3 linked regions of the Macaca fascicularis genome follow. The protein of the gene in region 1 purifies or fractionates together with the protein of each later gene. This does not show direct contact. Links are inferred from orthologs where the notes say so. Each region holds a gene or a part of one and is shown on either strand. Other genes may lie near its edges.

Region 1 (3,647 bases):
CACTTTAACTCTGAAGGGGGTGGACTGTAGTCAGGGAAAGGTTTGCAGAGTTACAAATATTTGAGCTAGGTGTTAAAAGAACAGATGGAGCTGCTGAGCACTACACAGATTCCAGAATGCCTGGTTTGAATGCTGGCTCTGTGTTTAGTTGTGTGACTTTGGGCAGGCTAAAGCACTCTGTGACACTTCCCTATTCTGTAAAATGTGGACAATAATGGAACCTCCTCTATGGTGATGCGGTAAGGATAAAATGAACTGAAAATGTAAATCACTCAGGACAACGGTTAACACATACTCGGGTGGTTAGTTTTCTGGAGTTTACAAATCTGAAAATGTCCTTCTGTTGTCTTTATTTGTGAAGGCCAACCTGGCTGGTATGACAACCTTAGATCATACCTTATCACCCTAACAATTCAGTATATTTCAGATCAGTGTCCTCTGGCAATAACAGATACAGTGGAAAAGTTAAAGGTTGTGATGGATTTTTATGTTTTTACAAGTAATTTGCTTTAGTTTCCTGCTTTGTGTCAACTCCTGCTGTCCTGGTCCTATCAACTGTAAAGTCTGTGAACTTCACAAATAAGAACCAAACAGCAAAAACTCTTTCCTTTAGGGGGAATGAGTGCAGAATGAGTCTTCTGCATTAAACCTAAGATTATGACTGTGGTGACAACCCCTTTTCCCCCATCCCTCAGGCGTCTTGGTAATCACCAAGCCTTCCCAGATACCTCCATGATTTAATCTACTTTGACTTTGGTTTCTCCTACTTCCTGGTGTGCATTCCAGGTGCCATCCCCACAGAAGCTGGAACACTTCCTGATTTCCATCTGGACTAGCTGAGACTCTGCACATAGCTGGCTCTTGCTAGTTTTCTCTCCCAACAGTCTGGATCCTTCAACAGGACTTCTACTTCACTAGCTTAGTCTTGATTCAACTTAAGAGAGTCCCTGCTAAGAGATGCTGCAACTTAAGAGAGTCCCTGCTAAGAGCCCCTGCTAAGAGATGCAGGCTGTGTATGTTTCCACTGTCTAGGAATTTTTGCCATGTCCAATCCGACCAGACTGGATCACAGTATATTAATATCAACCTGGTTTGGACCAGAATTTGAAGCTTATGTATAAGAGACCACACATATATCAATTCTTAGAGAACACAAGTTTCATAAAATAATTCATATTACCTGGTAAAGTCACGAGACAGTTCTGAAGAGAAGATCCAATTTGCTACTGCAGCACAATCAACTATTTGTGTACGAATCATCTTATCCACTAGTACAGCAATCATCTACAATGAGAGAAGAATTATTCAAGTAAATCACACACACACATACACACGTATATGTGCCACGACACTGCTACCATAAAAGTAAAATAGGAGGGCTAGGGCTATAAAATCTAGTTTTGATGGCTGTAGAACTGATTGATCAATTTGACCATTAGGTCTTTTTTTTTTGGAGACAGAGTCTTGTTCTGTCACCCAGGCTGGAGTGGAGGGGCACGATCTCGGCTCACTGCAACCTCCACCTCCTAGGTTCAAGCAATTCTCCTGCCTCAACCTCCTGAGTAGCTGAGATTACAGGTGTGCACCACCATGCCCGGCTAATTTTTGTTATTTTAGTATAGACAGGGTTTCACTCTGTGGCCTAGGCTGGTCTCAAACACCTGGCTTCAAGTGATCCACTCACCTCAGCTTCCCAAAGCACTGGGATTACCGGTAAGAGCCACCGCGCCCTGCCTGATCATTAGATCTTAAGATTTATTCTTCCCTTTGCTTTGCTCTAGCACTACAAGAAACAGGTTGACTAAACAAAAACTCTGAATGGTAACAGTTAAAATTTGAAAAAACTGGCCAGGCATGGTGGCTCACACCTGTAATCCAGCACTTTGGGAGGCCGAGGCGGGTAGATCACCTGAGGTCAGGAGTTCAAGACCAGCCTGGCCAACACGGTGAAACCCCATCTCTACTAAAAATACAAAAATTAGCCAGATGTGGTGGTGGATGCCTGTAATCCCAGCTACTCGGGAGGCTGAGGCAGGGCAATCACTTGAACCCGGGAGGCAGAGGTTGCAGTGAGCCAAGATCACACCACTGTACTCCAGCCTGGGTGACAGAGTGAGACTCTGTCTCCAAAAAAAAAAAAAAATTTAAATTTCAGTTACTAATACCTATTCAAAAAAATATATAATTTCGAGGAACCTCAGAAGTTAAATGTAAAACAATGTTTTATCATTAAAAACTCAACTGTTTTATGAAATTTATTTAAATGTTTCTTTGTAATACACAATATATATCAAGGTTTGAGAAATCTGGAGCTTGTATTTAGAAATTGGATAGACTAGATAAACTTCTTGCTGAACATTTAAAATATGTTGAGATATTATAGTTCAAAACCAAATCACAATAATGCTTGCTCTTTCAAGAATGAATCAAACATCATTACTCCCATAGCACTGAAAGAATTAGATCTAAAAACCATTATCTAGGCAGAGTCAAATTTCATGTTTTACAAACAAAACAGTAGTAATTAACGGCCTTATTTTTATACCTATATAATCAGAGCTTCAACATGTCTAATTAAATAATTTTTACCTGTGGATGGTTCCTCCAGACCTCAAACATAACTCTTAGCACATGTAACTTCCCTTCATCACTTTCAGCTAGGGTTTTGAAGACTTCATGAAACCTTTTGATAATGGTGGGAAAAAAATATCATATATACTTATTCGTTAAACATTTCAGTGTTTTCAAAGCCTTTTCAATGTTACTCAATTTATAATGCAATATGCAAATGCAAAATAACTGTAAGTATTAACCATTAAGGATGCAAAAAGTGTGATTAGAGATTCATAGTTTTTAAGGAAGCTGTCACAAAATCTCAAGACATTTACAATATACTACCGTTAGCCCAGGGCTACAGTTTATAAGAATAGGTAAGGACTAAGGAACTGTCTTCAAACATGGTGGAATATTCAAACTGCATCTTCTGTGGGAACCCTGCAAGTAACATAAAGCCTTGGAGGCAGAGATGGGGTGAGATGTTCAGTTTCTCTGCTTGGTTGGAGGAAAATCTATGTGCTCTTTCTTCCTTTGGACCCTGTCTAACAAGTTAAAAATATCTGTCTTTAGATGTCAACCTTTGGGTGGCTCCCAACAATGTAGCTGATTCTAATTTCTTCTTACATTGCTTGGCAAAGATACTTAGCGTGGGAACTTCCAACTGCATATGACTGTCCTAAAAATCTAGGTTTTTCACTACTTTAAATGTCTATATGAAAAAAAGCGCTTACCATGTACATATGCCAACTGTACAAACAGACTGATGGAAGCCTTAGGATACAGATTTTAGCTACCACAAACCCAAACCCACTGTATCCAATTATACATTATTAAGATCTTCATATTCAACAATCTTAGGTAAAAATTACTATACCACTGGTGTTCATGAAGCAAAGTTCCAAACCCTCAAGAAAGGCTCTGTACTCATACATACTTTGCAAGAGCACTGAAGGAGTGGCTGAATGATTTGGCTGCCAAGTGTAGCAGAGTCTGTACAAAGACTTCTATTTTCAATGGGTTAAAACTGAATCCTTCATCTGAAAAATATTTTATAATAAAATAGAAAAATGTAAGTACAGCAATCCCTTGGT
Region 2 (3,747 bases), on another chromosome or scaffold:
AATTGCTCTAAATCCTGAGGTGAAGCCTGCTAGGCCCAAGTCCCCATTTGCTCAAAAAACAAAACCAAACAAAAAACCACCTTCCTTGGGGTATGTATATCACCAAGGAACCCAAAAGATGAGGGGATACGTTCCCCTCAGCCCTTCCCTATCAGGCAGCCTTTGGATGGGAGATGAGGAAACGTTGGGTCTGACTCTTTTATTCCAGCCTCCCAAAGTTGGGGGAGCTGTCCAGTCCCCAGACCAGGAAAGATTTTAATCTCTTTGTGATCAGATAAATGGGAGAGTGGGGGAGGCTTGCTACCCTGCTGAGGAGGGCCATTCAAAGCTGGTTCCTGTAATAAAGTGATTTAATAGATCTAAAGAGGCCAATTCCCTTCTTTCTCCCACAATTACTTCCTGTGGGTTATCATTCACATATGTAAATGATACAGAGAAGGGAGAAAAGCCACCAGTGGGAAACTAGCTGTCTAATGGGGGGTTGGGGGGGATCAGGATGCTGCAAGGGGTCAGCTCAGTATCCTGCTACAGGTCCTCTTGGCAGATGTTCAAGTAGCCCACTGACCCCATGGCCCCAGCACTAAGTAGTGGCTCCCCATCTCTCTGCATCTATTCCCCTGGTTTGTTCCTCACTGAAGGCTGTGCTCAAAGATGTCCCTGCTGCCTCCAACTAGTCCATCCAGCATCTCCCTTCCCCACCCCTCCCCCCAAGAATGCCATCCCTCAGGCTCCAGCCCTTAATCCCCACATCCTCCTTTCCCCTCCCCCACACCTCCTAAAGCCAACCTCCCTTAAGTAACCCCTCCCTGCCCGGCCTGGGTGTCAACCTACACGATCTGGGATTAGCAATTTCTTCTTTCCAGATCCAGCCGCAAACCTCCAAAGATGGAAGGGCCACAGGCAGCAAGCAACTTCCTTTCCATGGTCTTTATGGGTAGCTGGTGGCCCAGGACCACCAGAATGCCTCTAGGATATTCAGGAAGGGGAAGCCTGGGAGGAGGGAGACCTGAAGTCTCTGGCTTCTTGTTTGAGGCCAGGAATGTTGAGACAGCAATCAATGGCTGTCTGGGGCCATAAATGCCAAGCGGAGAATAGGTCCAGAGGCCAGCCTCCCTCCACCCCCTGCCCTGCGACACTGAATTTCACCCCCTACTGTGCTGCCCTGCTTTAACTGAGAACTTGGGGTTGCGACCTATCCACTTCCCTCCCAGCCTGGCCCAGGAATGTAAGGAAGGCCAGGGCTCCTTGGGTTTTCCTTCTTCACGGGAAGTGGACAGCAAAGACCCCAGTCCTGAGCTTACAAGCTCCCATGTGGATCCTTCAGGGATCGGCCAAACCCAGTTTTTAGTGACCAGCCAGGTGAGGTCTGCATTAAAAAGGGGATGTGGCTGACTTCTCGGCTTTATGCCCCTTGGGTCCAGTAGCCAGTTGCCCTCACTCTCTCCCGCCTTCTGAGCTCCATTCAGACGTTGGAGGCGCTGGGCGCCCGGCTCAGGCCCGGCATGTGCTTCCCTGGCCGGCCTGCTCGCCCTCCCCCCACCGGCAAGCACAATACAACCTTAGTTTCTGCCACATGGGGTCACCTCCCTGCCCCCTACCCCTTCCCAGGGGAAAGAGGTAATAGACACGTGGTGAGCCGGAGGGGTTCCCGGAAGGGGGCGGGGGTGCTGATAATTGGTGCTGCCTCCAACTACTCCCCCCGAGATAGTTAACAGGGACTCAGAATTGGGGTGCCGAAGCAAAGACAGGGACGCATAATGAGGGTTCCCGAAGGCCCTCAATTCAACAGCGAACCCGGAGCCCACCCGTGGATACGTGCACCTAGACGCCCTTCCCTGGACAAAGTTACCGCAATCAGTCTCACCTGGTGCACAAAGACGTCCACTGGGGGGTCGAGCGCGACCCCAGCGCGGGCGGTCATGGACAGGAAGCCGAACCCCATGCGCACGTTGAACCACTTACAGATGCCCGCACCGTGCAGCAACTGAGGCTCGTCCGCCGCCCGGGCCGCGTCCTCCGGCGCCTCCTCGGGTGCCTCTTCTGCCGCCTTGGCGCAGCCACCTAGAGAGAGGGAGGGCCAGGCACTCAGCTAGGGGGCACGGAATCGGAAGGCGGTCTCGGGCTCCAGGCAGGGAGACCCGAGTGTCCAACCCCATAAGTGGACAGTCAGGAGGGGGCAGCTACCAAGGAACAGAAGAAACCTATCCCGGTCGCCTCCCGCGCTCCCCTAGCGTACACCGGGACAGTGGTGCCCCGAAAGTTTGCTCCTCTTCCCACAATGCGTTTCCCGGAGACTCATGGCGAGACAAACCTCTCCCCTCCATCCACCCACGTAGTCTGGCGCGCACGCCACTGGAACACCAAGGTTCCTTGCTCCAGAGACGGCCCTATGAAGAAGGAGGCCGCACCGTCTTGGGGTCCTTTGGGCAGCCTTGGAGTCAGTTCTCCACCTTCCTTCTACGTGGCTTCTGGCCGCCCCTGCCTCCTAAGGTGTCCCAGCTAAGTCCCGAGCTCGAACCTGCAAACTGCTGGTTGGACACTGAGCCCATGGTCGTCGGCTGAGCCCGTGGCCCCGGGCCCCTGGTCGGGCGGCTGCTGGCCCCGGAGAAGTCCGAAGGCAAAGGGGTGGTTCGGAGAAGAGGCTGCTACATCTTCCCCCGCACAATAGCGGTGGGAGGGCCCACGGCTTTTCAAAGGCTCCCAAATTCTAAAAGACAATGACCCAACCCCCCGCGGGCAGCCCCCTCCCCTCCCCTCCCTCTCCTTTCCCCTCCCTTTCCCTCCAGCTCCAGCTCCGGCCCTCCCCCACTGCTCTGGTCTCTGACACCTCTGGGGTGTCCCTTCTCAGAACCTTGAGGTTTGACACCCCCTCCCCACACACACATCTGGAGTTGGGGCTGTCTGCTCTAGAAGGCTTGAGTACCCCGGAATTTGGGATCCTGCATTTTGGACTCAATAGGGGTCCCCAAAGCAGATACAGGTGGGGGACCTGGTGGGGGGGGGTAGTTTTAAAACCACGTGACTGCTCACACACACACACACACACACACACACACACAAACACACACACCACCCCCACCCCCCGCGCAGATAATTATACATTCCAGAGAGTTGGGGGAGGGAGGTGTGAGCCTGGCAGCGCTGGCCAATCAGAAACACAAACCACCTGTCAAGGGAGAAATGAATGGGCCCTCCCCCTCCCCCAGCTCTTGAGCGCCCCTCCCCCTCTCTTCCCCCTCAGGCCTCTGAGCTGACCCGGCTGCTTGGCGCTGACCCGTTCTCACCCCCCACCCCCGTGTGCTTAGATAGACCTGGAGTTCTGGACACTAGGAAGCCCGGGATGGGGGAGCAGGGGGGAGAGGCTGGGGACACACAGGGCTGGTCTGTCCTGACCAAAGCGCTGCCTTCCAAAGTCTGTCTGCCTCTGACTACATCTGAATGTCTGCCTCCCAGAGTTTCTGACACAGAGTTTTTCTGGGCCTCCCCCAGTTAGAAAAGAGAAAGTGCTCTTAACTGATTCGTTGTAAATAATTCTTCCCTCTTTCCTCCCTCCAAACCTGTGTGTCTAAAGTTAGCCCCAGGTAAGCTCCCTGAAGAGCAAGAGGAACCCAAAGAGTCTTGAAGCTGTTTCTCCGCCAGCTGCCTTCTCGTCCCACCCCCACCCCATCCCCATCCACTGCTGAGAGAGGGACTGGGTGGGCTGGTGGGTAGAGGTACTTCCTCTGTACTCCTCACACTCTTAGATTC
Region 3 (3,747 bases), on another chromosome or scaffold:
AGGCAGAATACAATAGAGAATTAGAGATGTTTGCATCCTGGCTGTAACCTCACTAGCTGTACTGCTTGGGATATGTTGCTTTGCTTCTGTCAATAAGATGACAAGAACGGTACCTACTCCTTAGTATTAAAAGATTAAGTGTGCTAACAGGGAGAGGGTCAAACGTTTGTTGTTTTATTACACAGCAGGACATCAGGTCTTACTTTTGTAGCTCCCCATCTCAAAGACAGGGATGGCAAATGTTTCATTCAGGAAAAAAAATCCAGGTTGAACAATGGGGCTGTTGGGGTGGGGCCAAGAACATTCTGCTCGAATTAACAGTATTAATGGGCCTGGTGAGGTGGCTCACGCCTGTAATCCCAGCACTTTGGGAGGCCGAGGCAGGTGGATCACCTGAGGTCATACATGGGTGAAAACCCGTCTCTACTAAAAAACCAAAAATTTGCTGGGCGTGGTAGCGGGCGCCTGTAATCCTAGCTACTTGGGAGGCTGAGGCAGGAGAATCGCTTGAACCCAGGAAGCAGAGGTTGCAGTGAGCCGAGACCACGCCATTGCACTCCAGCCTGGGCGACAGAGCGAAACTCTGTCTCAAAACAAAAAGAAAAACAGTATTAATGGAATGTAGTATAACCCTCAAGCCCTACTATTGACACTTGGGGCCGAATCCAGACCCCGTCTTCCCGCTCGGATTCAGAACACCTTCCTGACTCCCTGGCCCTAGGGCCGCAGCTACCTCGGACAGCATCCTTTTGGGAAAATACCGCCCACTAGCCCCACGACTGGGAAAGAGTCGGGCAACGCCCCTCCCCTCAGCTAGGGCCTGCCGTTTCCTAGTGCTTGCCCAGCCGCCCTCAGGTCACCTTCACTACCGGGCCAAGGACCCCGTGGGAACTCGCAGCCCTCGCCACACCGGTTCCTCGCGCATCCATGGAGTGCCTAGAGAGAAGACCTGCATGGCAAAAACCTAAACGAAGAGATGAGAGGCATGGAGAGGAGTACGACAACAGAAGAAAGATAACAGTGGGAGGAGACGTTAGTTTCCTTTATCCGTTTTGTTACTGGCGGTAGCAGGGAAGTTAGAAACGGTTTTAAAACAAATTTCAGACAGGCATTTTCCAAAGGCAAGCCTGGAGCGCACGGATCTGTACAACCGCGGAAGGCCCCGTTTCCGGTCCCTTGCGCCTGCGCTCTTGCAGCCAAGAAGGCGGGAGGCTGGAGTAGGGAGAAGCCTGCAACCGGAAGTGAAGGCAGATTTCCCTCCTTCGTCGCTGTTGCTGCCGCCATACGCGCTCTGCCTGCTTAGGTAAGCTTTGGCGTTCACTACAATCCGTTGCCATCTGCGCTTCTTCGCACCCATCCCGTCACATGGGTTCCTGATACCCTTTTCACAGGCGATCGTCTGGTCTCTGGGGCCTAGTTGGTTCCCCATTTCCGTAGCTTGCATCCCTTTCGAGAGCAAAGAGCTCTTGGGGGAAGGAAGGGAAGCTAAGGGGGGGCCCAATCCAAGATGGTGTCCTCGGCGCCATTGTGTTCGTTTTGCTCCCTTCTTCCAGTAGGTTCTTTTCATATTGGAGGCCTCAGCATCAATGAGAGGCGGCGCTAGGCGTCCCTTGGTCTTGGTATTTGCGGAGGGCGGGGCTCTTATCACCTTACTTGTCCTTTCTTGAGCCCTTTCTTGGCCCACGGTGGGACTGGGAGGAGGAGCCGGTTTTTGGGCCCAGTTGGATTTTTCTCACCTTGACTCGCCCAAGTTAATTTGGAGTGCCTTACAAGTGTTTACTACTGGTGTCATTGTATGTTTCTCCAAAAGGAGTCTCACCTTCGTAGCGCAACAGTGATGTCAGACCACTTGGTAAAGATCCTGTTAAAGCCTGGGCGGGGATTGCCTTTCTCTGTCAACTATTAACTTTGTTATTGTAGGGTGGAGACATGGATTTTTTTTTTTTTGGTGGCCGAGCCATTTGTCTTGCACCGCCCCTCCCCCCCATGCTAATTACACAAGGCTTTCTTAAACAACGGAAGAGAGGATACTGAGAAGTGGGAGGCTGAGAGCTATGGGAGGTGGACGGCGGCCATATGATGTTTTCTTTTCGAAAGATGAGCGCTTTGCGCAGTGATGACCCTCATCTATCACCCTTGACTGATGGCTGCTGAGTTAGGCATCCATAACGGTGGGATTATAATAGGGAAAGCACAGTCTTCCTTTGAGGACTTTCCAGGACTCTGCTTGTCATCTCCATTTTCCACTTTACTAAGTTATTAATCATATTTTATCTTTTATTATCTATTATATTTCCTCACTGTTATTTTCAGATTAAGAATTTATAAGTTGGTCTTCCCCTTCCAACTTTTCTGGTTTCCGCTACTGTGATTGCTAATCTTGTTGGGAACCTGTGTCCTAACCACTTTCGCTGGTGCTGCTTTTTCTGTTCTCTTGTATTTGCTTTTCGTTTTTATGTTGTGTATCTGTTTTTTTTTCCATGTAAAAGTTTCCTAGTTTAGGGAAAGTGGGAACTGGGAATGGAAAAGAGGTGGTGAAGGCTCTGCTCGTGACTAAGTCTTGCTTTTTTTTTTTTTCCCCTTCCCCAGCTCTTCTGTTAGAAATAGTATCTTTATTTTCCTTTGCTGTTCCTCAATCCCCTACTCTTCACCCCTTGTTTTCACCTGTTTTGCGAGAACCCATCCAGATCCCCCTTCCCGTCTTCCCCTGCCGGCCCAGTTATGGCAGAGAACGATGTGGACAATGAGCTCTTGGACTATGAAGATGATGAGGTGGAGACAGCAGCTGGGGGAGATGGGGCTGAGGCCCCTGCCAAGAAGGATGTCAAGGGCTCCTATGTCTCCATCCACAGCTCTGGCTTTCGTGACTTCCTGCTCAAGCCAGAGTTGCTCCGGGCCATTGTCGACTGTGGCTTTGAGCATCCGTCAGAAGGTAAATTTTCTCTTGGGCATGTAGTGCTCATTGGGCTCTTTAAGGGTACAATAAAAAGATGTGTTTGTTGTTGCTCAGGTGGTAAAAGTTTATACTTAAGGCTAGATCAGGGTCAGGTGCAGGGGCTCACGCCTGTAATCCCAGCGCTTTGGGAGGGCAAGGCAGGAGGGGTGGTCACTTGAGCTCGAGTGCAAGAGAAGCCTGGGCAAGATAGGGAGACTCCTGTCTCTACTAAACGAAGCAGGTGAAGGTTGAGGCTTCAGTGAGCCGTTATTGCACTACTGTACACCAGCCGGGGAGACAGGAAAAAAAAAATCAGGAGATAAGTATCGAAAACGATTTTGGATAGAGGAGGATTATACAGACTTGTTCTTTCTTTCATGATAGCACCAAAGTGCTAATTATCCAAAAGTAGCTTCTAGGTCTGCCATTCATTCTTGTGACTGACTTCTTTTGTCTGCTTATTTTTAATTTTGTCATTTGACTTGTAATTTTAAATTTCCAGAAAGGTCCTGATTGGACCTGTAGTCTCCCTCTGTTGGGCCAGGCCAACTGTGGCCTCTGGAAACCTCTATGACTGGTTTAGAGATGACTGGCTTCTGGGTCAGGTACCAAGTCCTTCATTTTGTCCCGGGTTGTTGTTATGTGACCCGAAGTATGGCAACCTAAGTAGGAGAAATGTCTTTAGCAGGTATTCAGATGTCATGAATTGTTACAGATTAAGAAAAATAAGGACAGAGCCAGGAGCATTGAAGGTGAGCGGTTGGTAGATGCAAGGGGGCTGTTAGTAGGACTGGGAAGGCCTAGATCTGGAG

What was found.
Region 2: the proteins of NCBP1 (region 1) and LIN28A purify together in Homo sapiens (affinity purification with mass spectrometry; 3 studies listed by BioGRID and IntAct, with this or other methods). This does not show direct contact. The link is inferred for Macaca fascicularis from reciprocal best matches to the Homo sapiens genes NCBP1 and LIN28A.
Region 3: the proteins of NCBP1 (region 1) and DDX39B purify together in Homo sapiens (affinity purification with mass spectrometry; 6 studies listed by BioGRID and IntAct, with this or other methods). This does not show direct contact. The link is inferred for Macaca fascicularis from reciprocal best matches to the Homo sapiens genes NCBP1 and DDX39B.

Annotation. Positions count from the first base shown.
Region 1 is NC_088389.1:60,461,424-60,465,070, forward strand, and holds part of NCBP1 (nuclear cap-binding protein subunit 1), read right to left. Parts: intron 3,594-3,647; coding exon 3,491-3,593; intron 2,684-3,490; coding exon 2,590-2,683; intron 1,285-2,589; coding exon 1,181-1,284; intron 1-1,180. UniProt on the Homo sapiens protein: Component of the cap-binding complex (CBC), which binds cotranscriptionally to the 5'-cap of pre-mRNAs and is involved in various processes such as pre-mRNA splicing, translation regulation, nonsense-mediated mRNA decay, RNA-mediated gene silencing (RNAi) by microRNAs (miRNAs) and mRNA export.
Region 2 is NC_088375.1:208,719,931-208,723,677, forward strand, and holds the start of LIN28A (protein lin-28 homolog A), read right to left. Parts: upstream 2,678-3,747; 5' UTR 2,550-2,677; coding exon 2,519-2,549; intron 2,062-2,518; coding exon 1,865-2,061; intron 1-1,864. UniProt on the Homo sapiens protein: RNA-binding protein that inhibits processing of pre-let-7 miRNAs and regulates translation of mRNAs that control developmental timing, pluripotency and metabolism.
Region 3 is NC_088378.1:140,188,966-140,192,712, forward strand, and holds the start of DDX39B (spliceosome RNA helicase DDX39B), read left to right. Parts: upstream 1-1,249; 5' UTR 1,250-1,303; exon of another isoform or gene 1,304-1,852; intron 1,853-2,071; exon of another isoform or gene 2,072-2,149; intron 2,150-2,589; 5' UTR 2,590-2,721; coding exon 2,722-2,932; intron 2,933-3,747. UniProt on the Homo sapiens protein: Involved in nuclear export of spliced and unspliced mRNA. Component of the TREX complex which is thought to couple mRNA transcription, processing and nuclear export, and specifically associates with spliced mRNA and not with unspliced pre-mRNA.